Linked DNA regions of Struthio camelus. The protein of the gene in region 1 purifies or fractionates together with the protein of each later gene. This does not show direct contact. Links are inferred from orthologs where the notes say so. Each region holds a gene or a part of one and is shown on either strand. Other genes may lie near its edges.

Region 1 (7,348 bases):
GGTAGAACGTCCATGACCATAACAAGATGGAAAAGCTTTACAAAATGATTCTGTTTAATGCATTACCTGAGCATTTCTGATCACGTTCCCTATGTTTTGACATTTTTGAAAGTTTCGGCATGACACTATTGCAGTTTTTGTGTCCATGGCATTTTTCACTCCCAGAGCTCTTGTTAACATTAAGCCAATTAACTGTTTATTAGCACAGCATAGGATTTTGTTTCTATTTCTTAATAGTACCATCTTAACCTGAAGAGTTCTGACTCAGGCTTTGTGTTTTTCATGACAGCAAAATCTTACAATATTTCTGCAAAATCACACACCTTCAAGATTAAATTAAATTCAGTTAGTCCCACTAGTGCTTTTCAGAAACAGAGACAAAAAATGGACTTCTGAGATACCTGTCATCCTTAAAAAAAATCGTCATTTTTACCTACAACACTGTTAAGAATTCACATATATTTTTCTTCATATATATTCTAATGAACGATTGACCACAATTATGTCACTGTTATGCCATCAAATTAAAAACTTACTTGTTTTTCTTTCTTTTTCTCTGCTTTTGCTTTAAAGGAGCACTATCAAAGGCCTGGTCTGACAACAGATTACAACAACAGGCACTTGCAACTAACTTAAACGGTCTTGAATCATATTCTTAATTAGAACTGGTTGGCAATTTAATTTACTGTTTCTTCTAATGGTAAAGAGTTGTCTTTCATGGAAAATTTCGGTGGGAAAGACTTCTCAGCTTCCAGATGGAGCTTCTAGTAAGAACAAGCAAGATAATCATTCTGCAAGACTCTCACTTGAGATGTGGGAGTTTCAGATTTCTGCTCCTGCTTTGCCTGTTCCAGGCCCTCCCACGTCTTACTGAAATAGGCTAACGATTGGAATATAACATTAGTATGTTTCTCTAGAGCAGTTAAAATTTAACTGTTTAACAAACCAGAAGCTCCCAAAAAGACATTGATAGAGACCCTCCCTTCTTCGTTTTCCTCTGCAAAATGATCTTTGTTTCGGAGAGAGCTGGGAACTCTCATAAGTAAAAGGGTTTGCGTGTGTGTGTCGGGTGCGATAACTATTTTCCATCCACCTTTATTCTTAATGTTATATACTTACATTTCCCTGCACAATGGTACACAGAACAGGCTGTTGGACTACACTTAGATAGCGACTAAGCTCTTACTCTTAGTTTATGGAGTCTCTAGGAATTTAGAGTAAAAAAACAGGTTATAAATGAAGAAAATTATTAATTTATAAACCATGTAAATTACATTATTGTGAAAAATGACTTACCTAGTTCATGATCCTGTGAAGGGTTAGGTAAGGATTCTTCTAAGGGGAACAGATGTTTTAAAAAGGAGGTTAAGTGAACCCTAGAATAAGGAACGTAAGCATTTGGTTAAACTAACAAAAAGCATACTTACCTGCTGGCCTAGATATTTAATTCCAAGGAGTTGTGCACAATCAGTACTAACATTACCACTATTAGGGTAATATACCATATAATACCATATAATATACCACTAAAAATGAGATATTTTGCAACAACAACCCCCTCTACATAATTCGTGGAGCCATACAATGGGACAGGCAGAAAATTATGCTGAGAAAAATTATGCTCTGTGTGATTAGCTGAATTGGCCTCATAGTCCCTACACAGCAGCAGAACTACTGAATGGAGACTATAAAAAACCTAGACTTGTTAGCAGATCTCTCTTCTGCCCACCCGTGGGCAACAGTGTTCTTGAATCTCGGTATTTAATATCCTCATACGTTTCCTTTCTTCCTCTCCTGTTCTCCTACACCCTCTGTTGAATTCGGCACTTCTTTGCCACTCCTAATCCTACAACAGTTCAACATTTCCTTTTTATCTCCAGATGCTTGTCCAAAGCTTGTACACAACTTTCTTGCAGAGGTTTTATCCTTCCAGCAAGATTGCAGGCTCATTTGCTAGAAAGCTGTTAAATGTCAGACTGCTAGCAATGCAAATGCTTATCTATTTGTCACTTCAGCAGCAAATAATCAAGCCTGCTTTTCATTTTGTATTGTGGCAACTGTGTTCAGAAACTTGTCATGCAACACGGTCAGCTACACATTCTGGATTTTATTGTTGTAACTGATTTAAGCAGTTACATACATAGCAAACCCTCCCCAAATAAAAATCTGAGTAGCAATAGGTTAGCCCGAGTTGTATAGCAAATAGTATGTTTTAAGCCATCAGCTTCGAAAATGCTGTATGACTTCAGGGACGACAATGTGAAATACTAATAGGTCACTTCTTCAACCACCACTGTGAGGGTGGTCAAACACTGGAACAGGCTGCCCAGAGAGGTTGTGGAGTCTCCATCCTTGGAGATACTCAAAACCCAACTGGACACGGTCCTGGACCGCCTGCTCCAGCTGCCCCTGCTTCAGCAGGGGGTTGGATCAGGTGATCTCCAGAGGTGCTTGGCATTGAGTCTGGGTGAGTTAAATCATCCAGGGAACAAAAACATTAAGAACGGTTGGACTGAAACATATCTAGGAGTGTTTTCTTAGGCAGAAAGGCTGGCTTAACAGGTTCCCAGCCTCGACTGCTCGTTCCTGCTTGCACACCGTTCACTGTCCCCTTGGTGGTCTTAGGCAAGTCTATGTAAGTTATGAACATGGAAATGGCCTCATTTATCCAAACACAAAAATTGCAGCTCCTCCCAGTATGCATTTGCTCATTCTGGCCATTTCTGTGACCTCATCTATAGTGTGGCCCCAAAGCAAGTGCAGCTGATGCTGCAGGCAGAGCGGGGTGAAAGGCCCGGGGGTGGCACCTCGTTAGCCACCAGAGGCAGAGCGACACGAAATTACATCCTCAGGACAACGGCCACATTATAAAGTGGCAAGCGAGCTCTGACAAAGCCTAATACTGTTTATTTTTGGACGACAACAGTAGGCAGTCTCCACCCAAGGCCAGCTTGCCTTGGGATGCCCCTGCTGCGGGTCGTGTCGGGGCGGCGCTCAGGCCGGGGTCTGCCGCTCCGGGCGCCTGACGCCGCGCCAACACCGCCGCTCTCAGCCCTGCGCAGCGAGCGAGCGCCTCGTGCCAAAATCTAGCAGTTTCATACGACTCCCCAGTCCTTTCTTGGTAACTTCCTTCGAGCAGGTTGCAAAACAGGATACGTTATTTTCCCGCAGGCAGGCCACGTTTCTCCTGAACGTTTATTCTCTTGGGAAAGTGGCTGGCACAGCAACAAAATCAGGCCGGGGGTACAAACCGGCCAGGAACACGTGCGGGCTGGAAAACAGAAGGAAGATTTTTAGCCATCACATCAGTGAGGAGGGGAATAAACCCTTAGCAGAATTAGTAAAGGCAAGAGTCTCATTTGTTTTAGGTTAGAGCGCGGTTATGAAAGGGATTATACAACGGCAGGGCCTTGGAGGGTATTTTTTGCGTCCTCCTACATCCTTTGAGGAATGTTAAGACAAAAGGGGCACGTGACTTCCCGCAGCCGACAAGGCAGCACCGGGGCAGCAATGACTGCAAACGGTGGGCAGCACCTTACCTTTTACAAGGAAAGAAGGGGTGGTGGTGGTGGTGGGGGGGAAGACAACTCCGAACTGCACGACGCGACCTTTCCACGCCTGAAGCCAGGACCCAGCAGCCCGCAGCGCGGGCGGGAGTCGCTTGTGCCCCCGCAGACCACATGTGAGCTTCGGGGCTTTACAGCCGAAGCCTCCACCCCACCCCGCACGCCGACACGAACACGAGGGGGCCGCCGGCACGGCCCTCTCCCGGCGGGCACGTTCAGCGGCCGCGGGGGCCCGCGGGGAGGGGGAAGGCGCCGCGGCCGGGCCCCGAACCCGCGGCCCGGCGGGCGGCGGCGCAGGCGCAGCGCGGCCCGGGGCCGCGGCAGCTGCGGGGCGGTGGCGGCTCGCGGCGGCGCGCAGGGGATGCCGGCTGCCGCCGCCGCCTCCCGGCCCGGCTCGGCCCGACCCGACCCGACCCGCTCGCTGCCGCGCTCGGCGGGCCCTGCCGGCCGGCAGCGCGGGGCGGGGCAGCGCGCAGGGATTTGCGCCGCCGCTGCCCGCGGAGATGCCCGACGCGCGCGGCTGAGCGCAGTGACGCGCATGGCGGCGGCGCTCCCCCTGCGCCGGCGGGGAGGCGGCCCTGCGCCCGGCGCCGCCTGACCGGGGCTCGGCGGGCTGACAGGCCGGCGGCAGGAGGGCCGGGGCGCCGCGCCGCGCCGCGCCGCTGAGCTCGGCGCCCGCGCTGGGGCCGGCGCCGGCTGCGGCATGTCGTGACGGGGCGGCGGCGCGGAAAGGTCGCCACCTGCGAGGGGCCGCGGAGCGCCGGGCGCCGCCGCGATGGCCGGCTCGGGCGTCTGGGCGAGCCTGCGGGCCCTGCTGCGGCGGCCCGAGGCGCCCTTGTTCCTCAACGACTCCAGTGCCTTCGACCTGTGCGACGAGGCGGCCGACGAGGACTTGCCGCGGTTCAACAAGCTGCGCGTGGTGGTGGCGGACGAGGCGGAGGAGGCGGCGCCGCCGCTCAACGGGGCGCCCGGGGCGCCGCCGTCCGACGACGAGTCGCTGCTGGAGCGGGACATCGCGCTGCGCAGCGCCCGGCCCGGCCGGCCCGAGGCCTGCGGCGGCTGCGCCCGGCGGCGGGAGGGCGCCCGGCTGGGCAGGGTGAAGAGGCGGCTGGGCCTGGCCGCCGCCCTCTACCTGCTCTTCATGGCGGGGGAGCTCGTGGGTGAGTTGGCGGCTCTGCGGCGCCGAGGCCCCTTCGTGGCGCTGCCCCGGCCCTGACGCGACGCGACGCGACGCGAGGGAAACGGCCGGTGCGGGGAGAGGTCGGAGGGGCGGGCGGCGCCTTCAGGGCCGGAGAAGGAGCGAAGTCCACGTGCCTTTGCCGTGCGAGGGAAGGGAGGGGGGTCGGCCAACTTTACTTACCCGAACCGGAGCAAGCCCCCAAAACGGCTTGCAGTACACACACACACGTTTAATATATCTAATGGCTTTTTCTTTCCCCCGTTTTGTAACTTTGTAAGCTGGTTTCTCACGAGGGGAAAAAGGCATGGTATCATGTAGGCATAAACAAATAGAAGAAGATGGATAACTTCATCCTTGGTATTTTTTAATTGCTGCCGTAAAATAGTGCTGTGTTTGCAACAGAAGGGGGGACGCGTAGCTTTTAAGGATGACACTTAACTACAGTAACAAAACTCTAGCGTTCTGGGGGTAAACCATCCAGCGTGATACGGTGTGGTGTGGTGTGGTATGGTGGTATTTACATCCTTAGATACAGCAATGCAGTGTTCTTTACAGCTGAAAAGACAAACTCTGAAGCTGTAAGTAATAACAATCCAGTAAAGAAACCCCTCTTTTGACAACTTGCTGGTTTCCTGCTGTGCTCCGTACTAGCACATGCTCCATAGAGATATTAATCAAACCCCTCGGTATTCTTAAGTGTTGTAATTAGAAGCTTTAAAACACCTATTGATTTAATTTACTTTGATCACATGATTTAATTCTTTTGCGGTTTTTGTTTGTTAGTACTTGGAAGAAGTATGTTGGGTTTTACCTGGAAGCTTGTTCCTATATAAGGATTCGATTGTTGGTTGGAAGAATAAATCTGGTGCTCAAGTTCAGCTTTTATTACTCCCTTATAAAGGCATGCTGTCACTAGCTATCCAGGCTCAAGAGAACCTGTACATGATACAGCAATTTGTATAAAATAAGACTGTACTTCATTTAATAGGCTATAGTGGCACTGAAATAAGCTCTGAAGTTAAATGTCCCTTGGATGTGTAGATGAGCTATTAAAAGTTAGGCCCTCCCCATTCTCTAATCATTTGTATTAAGCATAGCGTTCCTCTTATAACCCCTGTTCACTTATCAATTCGTTATCAGTGTCCTGTTACCATCTGTCTTCCGGGAACATGCCGGAAGTACCATGCCATGCCATGTAGTGCGTCCGCTTGGCGTTGCTCACCCTCCTGAAGAATGCATAAACTCTGTCATCCTCTCTCCCCTGATTGAAAGTAGTGGGGAGTGTTACATACTGCCAGTACATCATTATCAATCATTAGACATTCAGTTAGGTGGAGCCAGGTCTCACTAGCAACTGTGCCAATTAATTGCTTTTAAATTGTTTTCATTTGATCATACAAGTCTAAATTGGAGAATTTATTGGCCAAAATTTGCTAGAAAAAAAGTCACAAAAAAATTTCTGGAAGTAAGGAACAGATGCGCCACGCGTACAGTAACACATAGAACAGGGGACTTGCCTCCTCTTTCTCACGCATCCAAGCTTGGGTCAGTGACAACTGAAGATCTGATGACTGCTCTTGTGAAATGAGCTAGTGCTCTCACATCATTTGTTATGGATTGTATCTTTAAGACAGAAACTTCTACAGTATGGGTTAGGGCCAAAAACATGGTTTGAATATAAATAATACAATTTGTCCCACATACATGGGGAAAAAAAATCCTTGGGAGAAATGGTCTGTTTTTCTGAGATAGACCAGAGGATTGACTTTATCTGCATCATGGTTTTACTTGGGGCCTCATTTCAGGAAGATGGGGTAATGGAAAAGAGTGTTTTTTGTCTTCAAGATCTTCCTTTCAGTGTGTGGTTGGTTAATCATTAACAACACTTCCACAGTACATTATCTAATCATGGATAAGGCACTTAGCTTCAAACCTGTTACAGAGATCTGTTTGACTGCCTCTGTTGGCACCCCTCTGTCTCTGTTTTTTTCTGGCTGAGAAAATCTGGCTGATTTTGGTTCAGTGTGAACTCAGGCAAATTTGATAATGGATGTAGCATCTTATCTCAAGTGTAGACATCCTTTATCCTAAGGATGGTTTTATGTGACCGTGTTCGTATCGGAGTCCTGCTGTATGCTGAATTTAGTCTATCTGAAGGGCTGCTTACTGAACGGTATTCCTGAGCTCTTTGCAGCTTGATGCTGAAGTCACTGAGACTGCATCTGTTTGGGGGCTTCTGACTTGATTCACGCTATTGCATACCCCTCTGCAGCTAATATAGGGACAGCACTGGAAGTAATAGGCATTGAGAGTAAAAATATTCCCCCATCAGTGTTGCATCACCGTCGCTTCTCGCTTAAGGCCAGGACTTCGGCAAGCTCAGATCAGGATGATTGATTTGTCTGTACAAAGCATTAGTACTGTAGCATAGACTCATCGTCATCAGGTCTGCCTATGCTCTTACCAGCCCTGTTTCATTATTTGGGCACTGAGGCATAAAGCACTAAGGCCCAGACCCATAAAATATGTGTGCATCCAACTTCCACAGAAAATAAATACGAATTGCTTAGATAAATACTTTTGTGGATCTTGACCTGAATGG
Region 2 (7,651 bases), on another chromosome or scaffold:
GCCCCCAACTCCTGCTTTGGCAAGGAACCACCAGCCCATCACTGTCCCCGGCCACACGTAGCTCTCTCAGCTCTTTGCTTGGGCTGCTCTGGAGGAACACGCACACCGTGTTTTCCTTGCCCCTGACTGAGGTTTTCTCAGGCTGTCCACAAGCCTCTTGTAGAAGAAGACATTTTCATATTCCAGTTCATTAAGGTGCTGTAGAAACATGGGCACTTCATCTTTCTTTATGCCCACACAAACAGGGATGATCTTAGTCCCACTCTCATGAATGCTGTGATGCAGGTTCCACTCGGAGACACGCTGGCACCAAGGGTCACCCAGGGACCTGGCGGACAGGAGGAGGATGGCAACTCGGCTGGCCTGAATGACCTTGGTGGCTGTCAGGACGATGGACGTCCCCGCCACTTGGTCCTGATGCTCTGCATAGCCCTGAAACCCCTCTCGCTTCAAGGCTGCCAAGATGTCTGAGGCGATGCTGTCGTCCTCAGGGCAGTACCAGATGGAGAAGTCATAGGTGAACCGGTGGTGCGAGGACGCAGACATGCCACTTACCAAAGGGCAATGGCACTGAGTTCACAGAAACAACAAAGCAAACAAGCTCCGAGCGTGGCCTCCTGCACCCGGGCTGAGCCAGTCTTCCTGCTAGGAACCTGCTACTGCGTCCTCATGACGGATCCAAGGGCCAGCTCCCAGGATCCCTCCCTGGCATGAGCAGCGAGATCACTACCACTCCCCGGGGAGAGGTCAGGCTGCCAACGCGGCACAGCCCTTAGCTTCAGAAACGATTCTGTGGCCCCTCGCAGGCCCGATGAGGCAAGACAAGCCAGCGAAGCCGCATTCGCACAGCCTGCAGGGCCTCTGGGGTCACAGGGAAGAAGCAGCAATGTCAGTTCTAGTAAATCAAACACAAATGATGCTGCTTCTGTAGTAGCTTTCAGTGACTTAGGAATATGCAAACACAGTCTCAAGGGACGCCCTCAGGGCGCCTGTTGCAGGCTGGCCCACACCAAAGCCCTCTGCGATGAGAGCAGAGGAGTCTCGAGTGCCAAGGACCTGCGTTAGCTTTTCAAATCAAGTATGAGTCCGTGCTCCCAGCTGCCTCAGCTGTTCAAGGGAGGCAAGGGGTCTCAGAAAGCTTTTTGCCTCATTTCCAAGATATCCTGCTCCAAAGTCGCTCCCACCCGTCTCAGCTCCTCACATTTCTCCTTCAGCAGCTGGCAGGACTCCTGCAGCTGCTGGTTCATCTCAACGTAGGAACGGCTCTGCCGATACAAGCGCTCTCTTTCATCGGCAGCGTCCTCATGCTTCACGGGTGCGGGGAAATCTGGCAGGGTGGGAGAGGCGGCTCAGCGGATGCCGGCAGAGCGCCCCGTCCCTCTCGCCCCCGTCGCGCCCCACGGCCCTGACGGCCGCAGAGCAGACAGGTTTCTGCCGAGCCCGGGAGGACTCGTGGCGGGACCACGCGGGCTCACCTGGCGAGGGGCTGCCATCATGCCCACCTCCTCTGTGCGGCTCCGCGGCGAGCACGAAGACAGGGTCGGATGGGTGGGTGCCCTTCACGTCCGCCAGGATCTGCTCCACGGTGGGCGGCTCAGGCCGGGTGGGCAGCACCCTCTTGGCCTTGGAGCTCATCACGGGACAGGCTCATGCACAGAGCCTGGCGCAGAGGGCGCAGGGCTGACGGGGGCCGTGCCACTGCCGCTCCCCCGGACAGCCGGACCCCCCCCTCACTGCCGTTTGGACAGACATACGGACCATCCCTGCAATCTGTCCCTGGGACAGACAGATCCCCTGCCCTGGGACGGACAGACAGACAGACCTCCCCCCCCAACTGTCCCGGGCAACCAGGCTCCCCCCTCACTACCTGTACCCACTACAGACAGACCGCCTCCCCCCTTGCTGCTCCTCCAGACAGAGAGCCCCCCTCGCTGCCCTGGGATAGACAGACGCCCCTTGCTGTGCCCCTGGACAGACAAACTGCCTTTGGGATGAACAGCCCCCCTCCTCCCACCCCCAGACTGACAAATCGAGCTCCCTCATCCCCCCTCCCCCCCCGGGGACAGACAGGTCCTCCCATTGTTCCTCCAGACAGACAGATTGCGCACCATTGCCCCCCTGCCCCCCCCAGGACAGACAGACAGACACTCCCCCACTGCCCTCGGGGCAGGCAGACGCCCCTTGTACTGCCCCCCCCAGGACAGACAGACAGACCCCCCCACTGCCCTCGGGGCAGACAGACGCCCCCTGTACTGCCCCCCCCCAGGACAGACAGACAGACCCCCCCACTGCCCTCGGGGCAGGCAGACGCCCCCTGTACTGCCCCCCCCCAGGACAGACAGACAGACCCCCCCACTGCCCTCGGGGCAGGCAGACGCCCCCTGCACTGCCCCCCCCCAGAACAGACAGACAGACCCCCCCAGTGCCCTCGGGGCAGGCAGACGCCCCCTGCACTGCCCCCCCCCAGGACAGACAGACAGACCCCCCCACTGCCCTCGGGGCAGGCAGACAGACGCACGCCCCCCCCAGCCCCTCCAGGCAGACAGACTGACCTCCCATCACCTCAGGACAGACAGACAGACAGACCGACCCCCCCCTCCCCCCCGCGATACGGTCCTTTCACACGCAGGCCCGCCGCCCCAGACATCCCCTTACCCCGACCGGCCGCCGCCTCCCGGCCACCGTAGCGCCAGCGCCGCACGCGCCTCCTCCTCCTCCTCCCTCCCGCCCTCTTAGGACCACGTGACGGCGACGTCACCGCCCGCCGGGCCCCGCCCCCTGCTAAAGGACCGTGCGCGGCGGCGCGTTGCCATGGCGACGCCTCCCTCCCTCCGGGAAGGGGGAGCAGGGAGCACACGGGAGCGGCGGTTGGGGGCGCCGCGGCCCCGGGGCTTTATTACATGGGGGGGGGGGGGGCTCCTCCCTCCCCCCTCCCTCGCGACCGGAACCGGAAGCGGAAGCGGCCTCACTGGTCGCGCGGCGGCTCCGGCGCCGGCCTCATCGCTGCTCTGGCGGCTGCGGGGGCGAGAGAGGCGGCGCCGGCGTCACCCCCGGTTCGGCCCCAACGGGCGGCACCGGGGTGGTGGTGGGGGGGGGGAAGCGGAGGCGAGGGCCGAGAAACGGGGGGACGTCTGCGCTACGGGCGGGGCTGGCTAGGGAGAAGCGGGGGGGAGACGGGCCGGGCCGGGCGGCCCCTTGTCCCGGCAGCGGGGGGGACCTGCGGCTCTTACATACGGAGGAGCTGAGCTGTGGCTGAGGGGCCACCTCGGCCGCCAGGCGGGCTCTGCTGCTGACCAGAGTCTGCAGGACTGGACGGGGAGGCGCAAAAAGAAGGAGAGAGAGATTTAAAAGAGGAGGAGAGCGAGCCTCCGGCTCGGTGTGGACGGGGCGGTGGGCGGCCGAGGGCACAGCCCGCGGCGTGACGGGGAGACGCTCCTCTTGCTGGTGCTACGCGTCAGAGCAGCCCGCGTCCCACCGGGGTCCTGCTCAGCCCTCACGTCCCAAAACGCGTCCCTGAGGTCGCTCAGGGCGAACGCCCCGCTCTGTCCAGCCCCGGACACGGAGCCGGACGGTGAGGGCCGGGAGCAGGAGGCAAGGGACCCACGTTACCTTCTCGGGTGACGATGGAAGCCGCGTCCAGGGCTCTGGTGCTGAGGTTGCCGAGCACGTTGTCCACAGCCTGGTGGTGTTTGAGGAAGCAGGGCCGGATGACGTTCTGGTACAGCACCTGCGACCCGTTCCAGGACACGGGGGCCATGCACCATACCAGGAATAGGCACTACAAGGAGGAGAGACACTCCAGAACTGGAAGACCGAGGCTGGGAGGGGAGGCAGGGCATGCAGGAGCTGAGCTAGGCAGCCTCCAGAAGGAGGGAAGTTATGGGGCAGTGGCTGAGGTGCTCCACCCTCGTCCAGCCTGGCTCTGCTCCTGTCCAAAGGCAGCTTCCCAGGGCTGGAGGTACCAGGGCCATGGCTGACTGCAGTGAGCTCTGCAGGGGACAGTCCTGAGCAGGACAGCGGTCTCCCACTAAGCTACACCTGGCTGCCGCCACCACCACAACTGCCCTGCTATGGGGTCAGAGCCCATCACACGTTTTCCTGTAGGTTCAGCCATCGTGTGAGTGGGCTCCAGCCTGTGCAGGCCCTTGCTCCCACTGCGGAGCTGTTACCTTCCCAGCGTAGTAGAATGGGAACCAGTAGAGGAAGGTGTCAGAGAAGAACTCGGCTATGCTGAAGACGCCGTACACCACCCAGTATGTGAGCCACGTGGTGTCATCCTCCTTGTTGGAGCTCTCAATGGCTTTGATGCTGCGGGAAGAAGAGGGGATAGGTCATGGCTTCTTCAGTCCTGTTTCCAGGATGGGCATGTCTTCCCCAGTCCTCCAACTTTGGAGCAAACCTGGCTACCAGGCTCCGCTGCCCCAAGTTGAGACCTTGCCAGGCCCCAGGGTTTTCAAAATATTTGTCTTCAAGAGCCCTTGTTTCCTCGGGAGCTTCCTGATCATAACCACCATCCGGGGGTGTTCATTTACCAGAGATACCTGGTCCCTCAGCTAAGGCAGGGAACGCTCTTCAGCATGAGCACTTGATATTTAACATGCCGTTGGCAGCTCAGTAACAAGCTGGGCTGCCCAGCAGCAGATGCTGCAGGGAGGCCGGGCCAAGGCACCGGTACTTACGAGACATATGCAGGGTAGACAAAGCCAATGAGGTTGCAGAGCAGCGCTGCGCCATAGCCGAACGCGAGGTACAGCCCCAGGAACGCGACAGACCCTGGGCCGGGGGGAGACAGTGAGAGTCATGTATTTGCCAACATGGAGGTTGCCAGGAGAGACTTCCAGGCAGCAGCTCAGTTGAGCAGGTTTCTCATCCCAGCAGTGGGAATTCACCGTGCAGATCCTGCCGGCTGCTGCAGGCGGCCGACATCTGCTCCCCCTCAGCCTCCAGCTGGAGGCGGCACAAGGCAGCCCCGTGGTGCTCCAGCACGGCTATGGGAGCTAGCGAGTGTCCGGAGCAGAGGTACGAGTGCTGGGGACCTCCAGATGGGGAAGGGGTGTGCATGGTAACAGCCACTCCATGTTTATTTAAAAGGACCCTCCATGTATCAGGCTGCTGAGGTGCTCAACATGCACCTGGAGCAGCTGCGCTGATACCACGGACAGCCTGGCTCAGCCTGTCCCGGGGTAAAGGTGCTCCCTCTCCCAAGAGGATATGCACACACACCCTTGGACTCTGCCAGGCACGGACGGCACCAGAGATGCCCAGGCACAAGCTCCTGAGGAAGGAAGTTCTGGTTCTGCCACTGTTTGTCCCCTCTTTGAGCCGGAAGGGACTTTTCTGTAGCAAACTTGGAGGACTTTTGACACAGAGCAGGCCTGGACCTGGGCCAGTGCTGCAAAGGGGCTGAATAGCAGAGGCTTTAACACTCACACCTACAGTCCAAAGGTAAGGGACTTCACAGAGCAATCGCGCTCCTCCAAACACCTCCTCAGCAGCTGGCACGGTCTGCGTGCCGCGGAGTTCAGAGCCGCTCAGCATTTTGATAACCCGGACAACTCTACAAGGGCAAGCTGTGCTATCGGAGCCAAGAGCTCCGATACCAGCCCTGCTCCGGGAGGAGGGGAGCAGCCTGCAGCCAGCTGCGTGGGGGAGACGTGCCCGGCTGCGACGGGGCTGTGCAGGACGAGCTCTATCCTCCCCGCAGCTCTCCTCGTGGGAGCGGCAGGGAGCCTACACCAGATCTGTAGTCCCCCGAGCCCTGAGAGCGCACTCAAAGCTGCCCCCCTCCCTGTGTTCAGGGCACGCATCTCCTTCCTGCCTTCTGTACGCATCCCCTGGATGCGCTTGTGCTGAGCAGTCACCGTTCGTTAAGAATTCAGCCCCCTGAGAACAGCAATCCAAACCCGCTTTCCTGTTATTAAATTAAATCATTAAATTAAATGTAATCCAAAGCTTTGGTTGTTTGGAATCTCCCCAGCCTCAGAGGCTGGCGGGAAGCAAGATCGGAGAGCTGGGAGAATCTGCAAGAGCCCCGATGCTTGGGAGGGTGGGAGCCCGAAAAAGCAGCCCTTGCTGCCAAAACCAGTGCTGCAGCAAAGAGCCGTCGTTCGCATGCTGGACCCCTCTCCTGGCGCGCGGGGCAGCGAGGCGCTGGCACTGAACACGTCCCTTCCAGCCCAGCTGCACCCCGGCCACACAGACACCTGCCTGAGGCAGCCAAAAGCAGACCCCGAAGGGACAGAGGGCAGAAAAGCAACCCTGGCCCACGCAGAGCTAAAGGAAGGACGATCACTGTCACATCCCAGCAGCGTCACTGCTATTGCGCGCCCTGTTCATGACACCTCTACATGTGCAAAAGCCTCTTATTCTGCAGCTCGCAGGAAAGCCAAGGCTTAAGCCCACCTGTGATGGGAATTAGAGGAAAGCCTTTGCTCAGGCATGAAGGACGGATTATCCCAGATTTGCTCACAGCAGCATTTCTTCTCCTTTCCCTGGCTCCCAGCACCAAGGTGGCTTTGGGTCTTTCCAAAGAGACAGGCAGGAGCAACACCATTTTCTTGCAGTTTGCATGGAGTGATCACAAGCTTCCCTCAAAGGAAAACTAACAGGGAGGTTCAGATAGCTCTGGGTTTCATTCTCTGAAGAGCCCTAGAACAGATTTTATGGGCTGCCTAAGTTTAGTCCCTGGAGAAATTTATATAAAAAGGAAAGAGACTTAGTGTATAAAGAAAAGCCTTGTGCTTCAGGAGGGAGGAAGCAGACACGTGCGAGTCCTGCTTCTCATCCCCTCCACCAACGTGTCTCCTGCCCGACCGCTGCACTCCCTTTCTGCTCCCCGTGGCCTCGCCAACCCCGCTCGGCCCTCCGTGGGTCTCACCTCACGCAGCCAGGGACTCGCACGCGTTTCTCCCGCTCCAGCTCCCCTCCCTCCCCAAAGCGTTTTGCACAGGTCGGCGTGAGACCCACATCCTCCTCAGGCAGCAGACGCCGTCAATTCTCACCCTCCAGCAGCACTCAAACCCTGGCCTCAGGGCTGATGCACAAAATCCCCCACGGAGACCCAGCTCTGTCTCCTTACAGAGGAGGAGGATTTGGAAGAAATCTAATTGACAAAAATAGCATTTAAAAAGAGCGCGAGGTTTTGCTGACACAGCACATTGGGAGCGGGATATCATCCTTGTCCAGCACAACTTTTACCCAGCTCAAGCTGAGGTACAGCTTGCCCAGAGCCTCTGCACGGCAGCACCTGGGTCGTTAATGGTTCAAAACATGCAAGACGGACGCTGCTGGTTTAAAACACAAATTAGTAACTGCTCCAAGCCCAGGCAAGAGGAGAAAAGAAATCTGATATCTGTTGTTTAGTCACAGCCTGTCCTTTCACAGGACTGAGACGCGAGAAGACAGGTATTAGCTCCTCGGTGTAAGTGATGCCTCTGTGCTTTTCCTACTAACAAAAGCACATCATACAAATGCTTCTGAGCACAACCAGAGCCCCAGGACTTTCTGCCTGGAAGACACCTGAGCATCAAGCATCACTTCCAAGCACAACCTGCTTGGAGAATGCAACCAGCACATGCCCATTCATGCACGTGCTTCCCCAAACGAAGTGGAAAAACGAGCTTTACAGCAGGGAAAGAGCCACAAAATCACA
Region 3 (7,188 bases), on another chromosome or scaffold:
AGAGGAAGTCACTTAATGCATGTTTACACCATGTTCAGCACAATGGGACTGCTGGTCACTACTGTAATACAAATAACAACAGTACAGGATTCGTATTCCAGTATCCTGCTGCTTCACAGTAACAGTGCCAACAAACAGAGGGGAGTAGACAGCTGCAACAAGATCATTGTGCCAGATTGATAAACAGCAGCTCCATCAGACACAGACCCCAAAGTAACAAGGTATTTCCATACCCTTCAGCCAAGGGAGCAAATATATGCCTGCACAGGTCTATTTCGAAAACTTGCACGTTGCGTACCTCCCTGCAGAACTGGGCTCTCAAACAGTGCTTCCCAACAGCATTTGTAGGTAGCACGAGTAGATGATCCATCCCTCTAAAAACTAGACTTTGAGCAAGTCTGTATCACACGACGCAGCATGGCACAAGGATCCCCATGACAGCCCATTTACCAGTTTGGGTCTTCTCTCGCGGCAGCACAGTATGAAGTGAGTGAACCAGCACAGACCAGTGATTCCCAAAAGGAATTGTCAGCGAATTGTGAAAAAGCACCAAAGCAGCAGCCTGCATGTTTTGTCCATCCAGCTCTGGAAACCAATTTCAAAAGTCTGGCAGAAGTGAACAATCCCAGGGAGCTGAGGAGCAGGCTGGGATATGGGTCAGGTTCAGCAGCTGTTCATGAGGCTGCTGCCTAGCTGCACTGCACAGGCTTGGAGTGGCTCAGAACATCTACCTTGCGCTGCCATTTTCAATCCAGAAGGTGGTGTATAAAGCATCAGAAGTTTGGGAATCACGGGCTTTGATCCGTAAGTAACGTGACTACGTATGTGCTGTCCCTGAGCTTATTCATAAACCTTGGTTCTGCACTGAATCTCATCATCTGTAGTTCCAGGATCCAGCCATGGAAGCCATGGAAACCAACAGTCTTTTGTCTTCAAGATTTCCAAATATTGATATATATTGATATAACCACTGGAAGAATGATGATGGTGGCAACTTTGAGAAGAGGAGCCCCTTTGAGAAGGGAAGCATATTTCCAGAAATTAGGGATTGCTCATAGCCCTCCTCCTCCTTCTTCATAGTTAAAGCTTACCTTGCATAAGGTTATCGGTTAAAACGTTTATAACTGCCGATATAACGCTAGTGAGTATTAGAAATATCAGGAAACTATAAGCAAAAAGTGCCCAGGATAAAAACAATACAAATTTCAAATAACAAAAGTAAGGAAAGAAAGCTTCGTTCTGGAACTACTTCCTCAAAACAGAAATTCCTTTTGTTTTTCTCCTTGTCCAAAATGCAAGGAGCCCTTTTCAGGCCACTAGTCTCACAACATCAATCTGTACCAATCTGGTATAGCACAATAGTAGAAATACTACAGCGCATCAAAGAAATCTGAAGAGAAATTTGTGAAGACCTTTGTTATAATAAAAATTATTATTGGCAACTCTTGCCTAATATTAATGAAAGGAAGAAAATACCATTTCCGTTAACTAATGTAAAACTGAGGAACTCAGTAAAACTTCAGAGAGTGAAAGTACCTGCGGGTCAACATGCAACCCTTACTTCTGAGGGTAACCCCACAAACTCGGTAACCGATCTTTAAGAACTCACTAAACAATCAATACTTGAAGTTTAAAACCCAGATCCTATACATTAGAGATGGAGACTATCCACTGCAGACCATCTATCTACCTGTGAATGAAATAATCACCTCCGTGGCCCGTGTTCTTATCTCCTCGTCTTTCTAGTACAGTTTTTAACAACAGAAAAGAACTGCACGTTTTCTTTGTTCGCAGGAAGAAAGTTTGCGCTGGAAAGCTAAATTCTGCTTCCATCCTCCCCTTTACGTACCGAACGATCCAAACAGCAGTAATCTATTCGCTCAGCAGCAAGATCCCCGGTGTTAGCACCCACCTTGAGCACTAACAAAGCTAAAACAGTAACGCATCAGCTCGAAGAGTTACAGCGTATAATCACGTCCTTCCTTTTGTCAGCATCCCTCGAGTATTTCGGGTTACGTCTTCTTCGTTAGCTGGGCTATGCGGATTTTCCTTAGAATAAGTCAGCCCCTTCCTTCGGCGCTGCAGCGGTCATGACCAGCGCTTCTCAAGCGCCGCCGGGTTTTCAGGAGCGCAGCCCGGGCCCGAGCGCGTCCCAGCACCGGGGCCGGGCCGGGCCCCAGGGCCCCGCGGGCGGTGCTGCTCGCCGCCTGCGCCGCCCAACAGCTCCGCTCGCCCTTTCTCGCCGCCGGATCACATCGCCACCTCCGTTTCCAGCTCGCCTTCCGCTACCGGCAGTTCAAGGCCTCGGCCGGCTTTGCAGCTTCCCTCCTCGCCGCTGTTTCGGGCTGTTTGTCTCCAGACGCCCCGGTACGAACCCAAACGCGGCTGCGGCCCCACCCCGCCCCCGCCACCTGCGCGTCCTCCGGCCGCCGGTTACTCAGGCAGCTCCCGGCGCGGGGGGGGGACACGACACGGGACCGCCAGGGGCGGGTGCTGCCGCCGCTCTCGCCGGCCGGGTTTGACACCCGGCTCGCAGCCGCGGCCGCCGGGCTCGCCCCGCCGGGAGGGGGGGCTCCGCCGCCGCCGCGGCCCCCGGCGCACCCCCGGCTCGGCGGCGGGGCGGGCGCAGCGGGACCCTCCCTTTGTCTGGCGCTGCCCGCCCCGCCGCCGCCGCCGCCGCCTCAGGAGCCCGCCCGGCCCCCGGCCGCCGCCCCCGCTGGTACCTGGTGGCTCTCGCTGGTGCCCGGCGCCGGCGGGCTGTGGCTGCCCATCATGTTGGCGTAGAGGGACCTGGATAAAGGGCTCCGCAGGTACCTGGCGGGGCCAGACCACATCCTCCTCCGCAGCGCCCACAGCAGCAGCGTGTAGCAGCCCAGCCAGCCCAGCCACAGTCTCATGAGGGGGGCAGGGGCGCGCGGTCACCCCCTCCCGCTGCCGCCGCCTCCCCTCGCCATGGCGGCGGCGGCGGCGGCGCCAGCAGCACGCGACCCGCCGCGCTCGGCTCGGCCCGGCCCGGCTCCCCTTCGGGGCCCGCGCACAGGCGCGGGGCGGAACGCGGGGCGCCGCGGCAGCGCGGGCCGCCCGGACGGCTCGGCTGCGACACGCCGGGGGCCTGGCACGCGCCGGCTGCCTCCCTCTGGCTCGCCAATCACAGCGCGGGCGGGGCCGCGGCGCGGCAGGGGCCGCCGCTTTCAAACCGGAGCGGGGTACAATGGCGGCAGCGGCGGCGGCTCGTCCCTCCCCTCCGGGCATCGCCGGCAGGAGCGGCGCGCGCGCGCTCCTCCCCTCAGCGGAGGCGGGCGCCGGCCGCCCCCCTGCCGCGCACGTGCTCGGCGCCGCCCCGCCCCGTCGCCCGGGCGGCGGCTGGCGGGCGCGTGCCGCCCTCCCCTCTCCTCTCCTCCCGCGCCTGCGCAGAGCGGGGGTGGGGGAGGGGCGCGAGGCGGCGCCGTCGCCACACGAGGCCCGGGCGGCCCCAGCGCGGCCGCTCTGCGGCGCGTCGCCTCCTCGGGGCGGAAGAGCCCAAACGGCGCGGCCTCCCCGGGGCGCCCGCTCCCGCTTTCCTTTAACCGGGGGGGGGGGGGGGGAGTTTCCAAGGGAGGACGAGCTGCCGCCTAGGGCGGCGCGCCGTTGGGGAGCGGCGGTTTCCCCCAGCGCCTGGCGCGCTGGGCTTTCTGCCCCTCGTTGCCCTCATTAAGGTGTAAAGCGTTGGGATTAGGGCCTCAGTTTGAGAAACGCCTGGCCGCTGCAGTAGTATGGATGGAAGCGGTGCTTTACCTGTTGTTTTGTTTCCATTCCCTTCTTCTGGTAGGCGCAGCACTAAGGTCGGCCAGCACTGAGGCGTCGAGATGTGTGCACAGCCCCAAACATAAGCGCTTAAAGATAAATTGGTCGTTACGGAGTCGGCTCTTTGACAGGCGCTTCTGCGTACAAATGGAAGCCTACACGTCTTTTGATACGAAATCTGGCTTCAAGTCCTCAAACACTGCATTTTTTTCTTGTAACTATTTTGCAATGGCTCGAAGCAAACCGTTGCTGCTAGCGTGGGATTCTTGCAATGTTTTGACCTAAAAAGGTCTCTCAAATTTGCAGCCTTGGTTCTGCGGCAGGAGCACAGTTAGTGTTTAGAGCAGACGGATCTGAGGTCAGCTTGGTTCCTGAACGTCTTCCTGAAGCGGTGGGGTATCCATGCAGAGGAAGGAGAAGTCAGTGCGTAGGTAGGAAAACGGGAACTTGAGAGTCAGGCTCCCGCGTGGTTGTGTGCCTGGGAGCGTGGGGGCACAGCGGAGACCAGCGGAGGAAAACGCGTGCTGAATGCAGCTAATACCCCCGGCAGAACAGCCTGGAACAGACAACGCTTATCAAAACATCTTAATCTGGGACAGGTCAAGCTGGATAAAAGCCTTCTGGCATTTAATACAGTAGCTTATGCCTTTGTTAGGACAAGAGCATTAGTTTCTGTGGGTTTGGGTTAGGTTTTATATCACTGTGCCCAATTACTCTCTAATAAACGCAGGTTACTCATGGTAGTAGCACGGAAAGTGAGGAATACCACATCCAACTGAAAGAAAGAAAACCTAGACAAAGCCCATCTCATTAATCAAATTCCAGCTGAGTACGGCATCAGGGCTATCGTCTCTAGTCTCTCAGACATTTTTTTCCTAATGAACACAAGCAATTGGCATCTTTCCTTTTGATCAGATTTGAAAGGCTGGAGCCTAGCCCCTTATTTTCCTGGTAAGGATGACACAAAGTCAAACCACCACAAGGATCCTGACTTCTACCGGGAAGATCCTCTGATCAAGCACTAATAAAATCCAACCTTGGTTAGCTTGGGAAATAAGAAAACCAGAGCAACGACAAAATACTGCCAGAGGATTTTTTCTGTTCAGTTTATTTTCACTGATGTTCAGCCTCCTTAAGGAGAGTTTTTGATGTGAGAGCTTTGGACACTTTTCCAGACAAAGATTCATTTTTCTCCACTAGCTAGACGGGCAAGATGCCTTTTCGGTCTACTACTACTTATTTGGTTTAGGATCAGGACTTTCCTTTCTATGTATCTTCTTGTTTGTAAAGACAGATTAGCTTATTTTCCCCCCCGGGATAAAACAGCTTTATAATCAAAATTGAAAATGACAAAGCAAAATTTGCTGCTTTTTAAACAGACATCTGCTTGCAACGTGTAAACCACTAAATAAAATTGCCTCTGGTTAGTTGCATGTGGTTCACAAGGAAATGTATCTTAATGTTATCACAAGAAATATACAGATAATGAGTTGCATACTGAATAAATTAAGAAATATGCTAGTTTTCATCTCTGTATTGTTATTATACAACCTGGGTATGTTTTAATGAGATGTTCCAAAGTTCCTACTCTGTATTACATTGGTCATTAATATTCTACTCTGGTAGTTGTATACTAAGCATATTTTTTCTCTTGACAAGCTATAAAAAATGTACTATTCATGCACATTTAGGCAATAATTTTGATGCACTGTCATTTGCACATATGCTGATGGAATTATAACCTGTATCAATTGTTGGACAATCTCAGAAAACTGTTCTTTGTATAAATGTATGCATATATCATTCAAAGCAATTAGCACGGTTGGGGGAGGATTTGCAGAAAAAAAATATAATCGTATTTCTTCCTTGTTTCTCCTCATTTTTTTAGATACCTCTTCTTCATGTTGGGAAAATTCTATATTTTATTTAATACCAAGGGTCCAAAAGGTCCAAAACATATCCAAAGGTTTGAATACTTACCTATAAAGGAGTGTTTTTAAGACGATTGCGTGCGCTTTGTGGTGATCACAGGGAACCTTGTCTTCTGGAGCAGGATTCACACAGCTCCACAAGCTAGCTAGCTCCACAGCTTCATGTATTCTAGGATGTAAATCTGCAGTCTTCCCAATCAAGCAGAGCAATAAAACAACCTTTGCTTTTGTTATTTAAGTAGTAGTAAGAAAATGATTACCAGAAAGAGGGCTTTAAGTTAAACAAACACAGATACCTTACCTAAAATCCCCTTTCCCAAAGTAACCTAGGAAGCCCATTTTCTTCACCCATGCCTCCTGGTGCCTGTGGGTTCGATCATCCAGCTCTCTCAGACAACGCCTGACAGCTCCCCCAGTCTCAGCTCTATGTTCCTTTATAAAATCTGCTAGAATTTTTTTTCATTGCATGTGTTATTAAGCTTTTTCCTGAGCTGACATAATACTGTAAGAAAGAGCTCCTAAGTATTTGTGGAGATGTGGCTTATCTTAACTGTTCCTTTCCCTTCCTGCTTTGTCTTTCCTGACAGCCCCCATTAAGCTATACAACTATATTCAAATGTAAACATCCTACTAACCATGTCAACATAGCATTATTCATGAATTACTGAGCAGTTCCAAAATCAGCACAGCAGGAGACTGGGAAGGTCATTTTGTACAAGAAGAGAACAGAGACAGGACTGTAACCTCCACAAAATATAAATCTAATTCTTTCCTACTTAAAATTCGATACTTTTGTTGTCCTTTATTCGATCTGTTTTCACTCCATCACTAACCACATATTATATTACTACTTTATGATTAGACTAGCATTCTGTCGTGTCTATTATATAACATCCTTTTAAATCCAACAGACACCTTTACCTATTGACTTCCAATAAATAAGATTCATTCAGTGTATTAAGATCTAAATTCTGAGAACCTGTACGGAAACTCTATGAAGTAATGGGATTCAAGCATCAAGCTTCTAACTCCGTGAAGTTATCATAATGTTTCTGTTTCATATTATACACATCTAAATCTTCTCTGTCAATTATGAGGCTATTTTAGACACTCTTAAATTATCAAGATTAAATTGTGGCATTTTTCCAGCAGGAAGACTTCAAGCTCAGATACTGTTAGCTAATGGGGAGTGAAGGCAGACAAACCAGCTGCTGCAAGACACTGTACTTTCGCATTTGATCATCATTTACTTGATTCATGGCCAAAAACAATCATGTAGGTTTAATAAAGGATAACAAAGTTTAGTGGATGGCAGAGAAATGGAGAATAAGCGATGTCAATCATAGCGTACTGTCAATCTTCTATTGCTAATTCTTGGATTAAGACTACGGCCTGAATTTAACCAGTTTGCCAGCTCCCTTTTGGTTTGACCCTTGCTGTGATGAAAGGTGCTTTTTTCTTGTCCTCTTAGCAA

What was found.
Region 2: the proteins of SLC30A4 (region 1) and C26H19orf25 purify together in Homo sapiens (affinity purification with mass spectrometry; 3 studies listed by BioGRID and IntAct, counting the BioPlex papers as one, with this or other methods). This does not show direct contact. The link is inferred for Struthio camelus from reciprocal best matches to the Homo sapiens genes SLC30A4 and C19orf25.
Region 3: the proteins of SLC30A4 (region 1) and METTL9 purify together in Homo sapiens (co-immunoprecipitation; 3 studies listed by BioGRID and IntAct, with this or other methods). This does not show direct contact. The link is inferred for Struthio camelus from reciprocal best matches to the Homo sapiens genes SLC30A4 and METTL9.

What each region holds. Positions count from the first base shown.
Region 1 is NC_090953.1:12,651,992-12,659,339, forward strand, and holds the start of SLC30A4 (probable proton-coupled zinc antiporter SLC30A4), read left to right. Parts: upstream 1-4,341; coding exon 4,342-4,726; intron 4,727-7,348. UniProt on the Homo sapiens protein: Probable proton-coupled zinc ion antiporter mediating zinc import from cytoplasm potentially into the endocytic compartment. Controls zinc deposition in milk.
Region 2 is NC_090967.1:6,861,857-6,869,507, reverse strand, and holds the start of C26H19orf25 (UPF0449 protein C19orf25 homolog), read right to left. Parts: upstream 2,998-7,651; 5' UTR 2,970-2,997; intron 2,761-2,969; exon of another isoform or gene 2,656-2,760; intron 1,734-2,655; exon of another isoform or gene 1,661-1,733; 5' UTR 1,636-1,660; coding exon 1,476-1,635; intron 1,328-1,475; coding exon 1,131-1,327; 3' UTR 1-1,130. Other genes in the region: REEP6 (receptor expression-enhancing protein 6), read right to left, coding at 2,998-3,308, 3,610-3,778, 4,170-4,308, 4,680-4,773, 4,890-5,061.
Region 3 is NC_090956.1:9,316,505-9,323,692, forward strand, and holds the start of METTL9 (protein-L-histidine N-pros-methyltransferase), read right to left. Parts: upstream 3,016-7,188; 5' UTR 2,898-3,015; coding exon 2,724-2,897; intron 2,368-2,723; exon of another isoform or gene 2,107-2,367; intron 1-2,106. UniProt on the Homo sapiens protein: Protein-histidine N-methyltransferase that specifically catalyzes 1-methylhistidine (pros-methylhistidine) methylation of target proteins.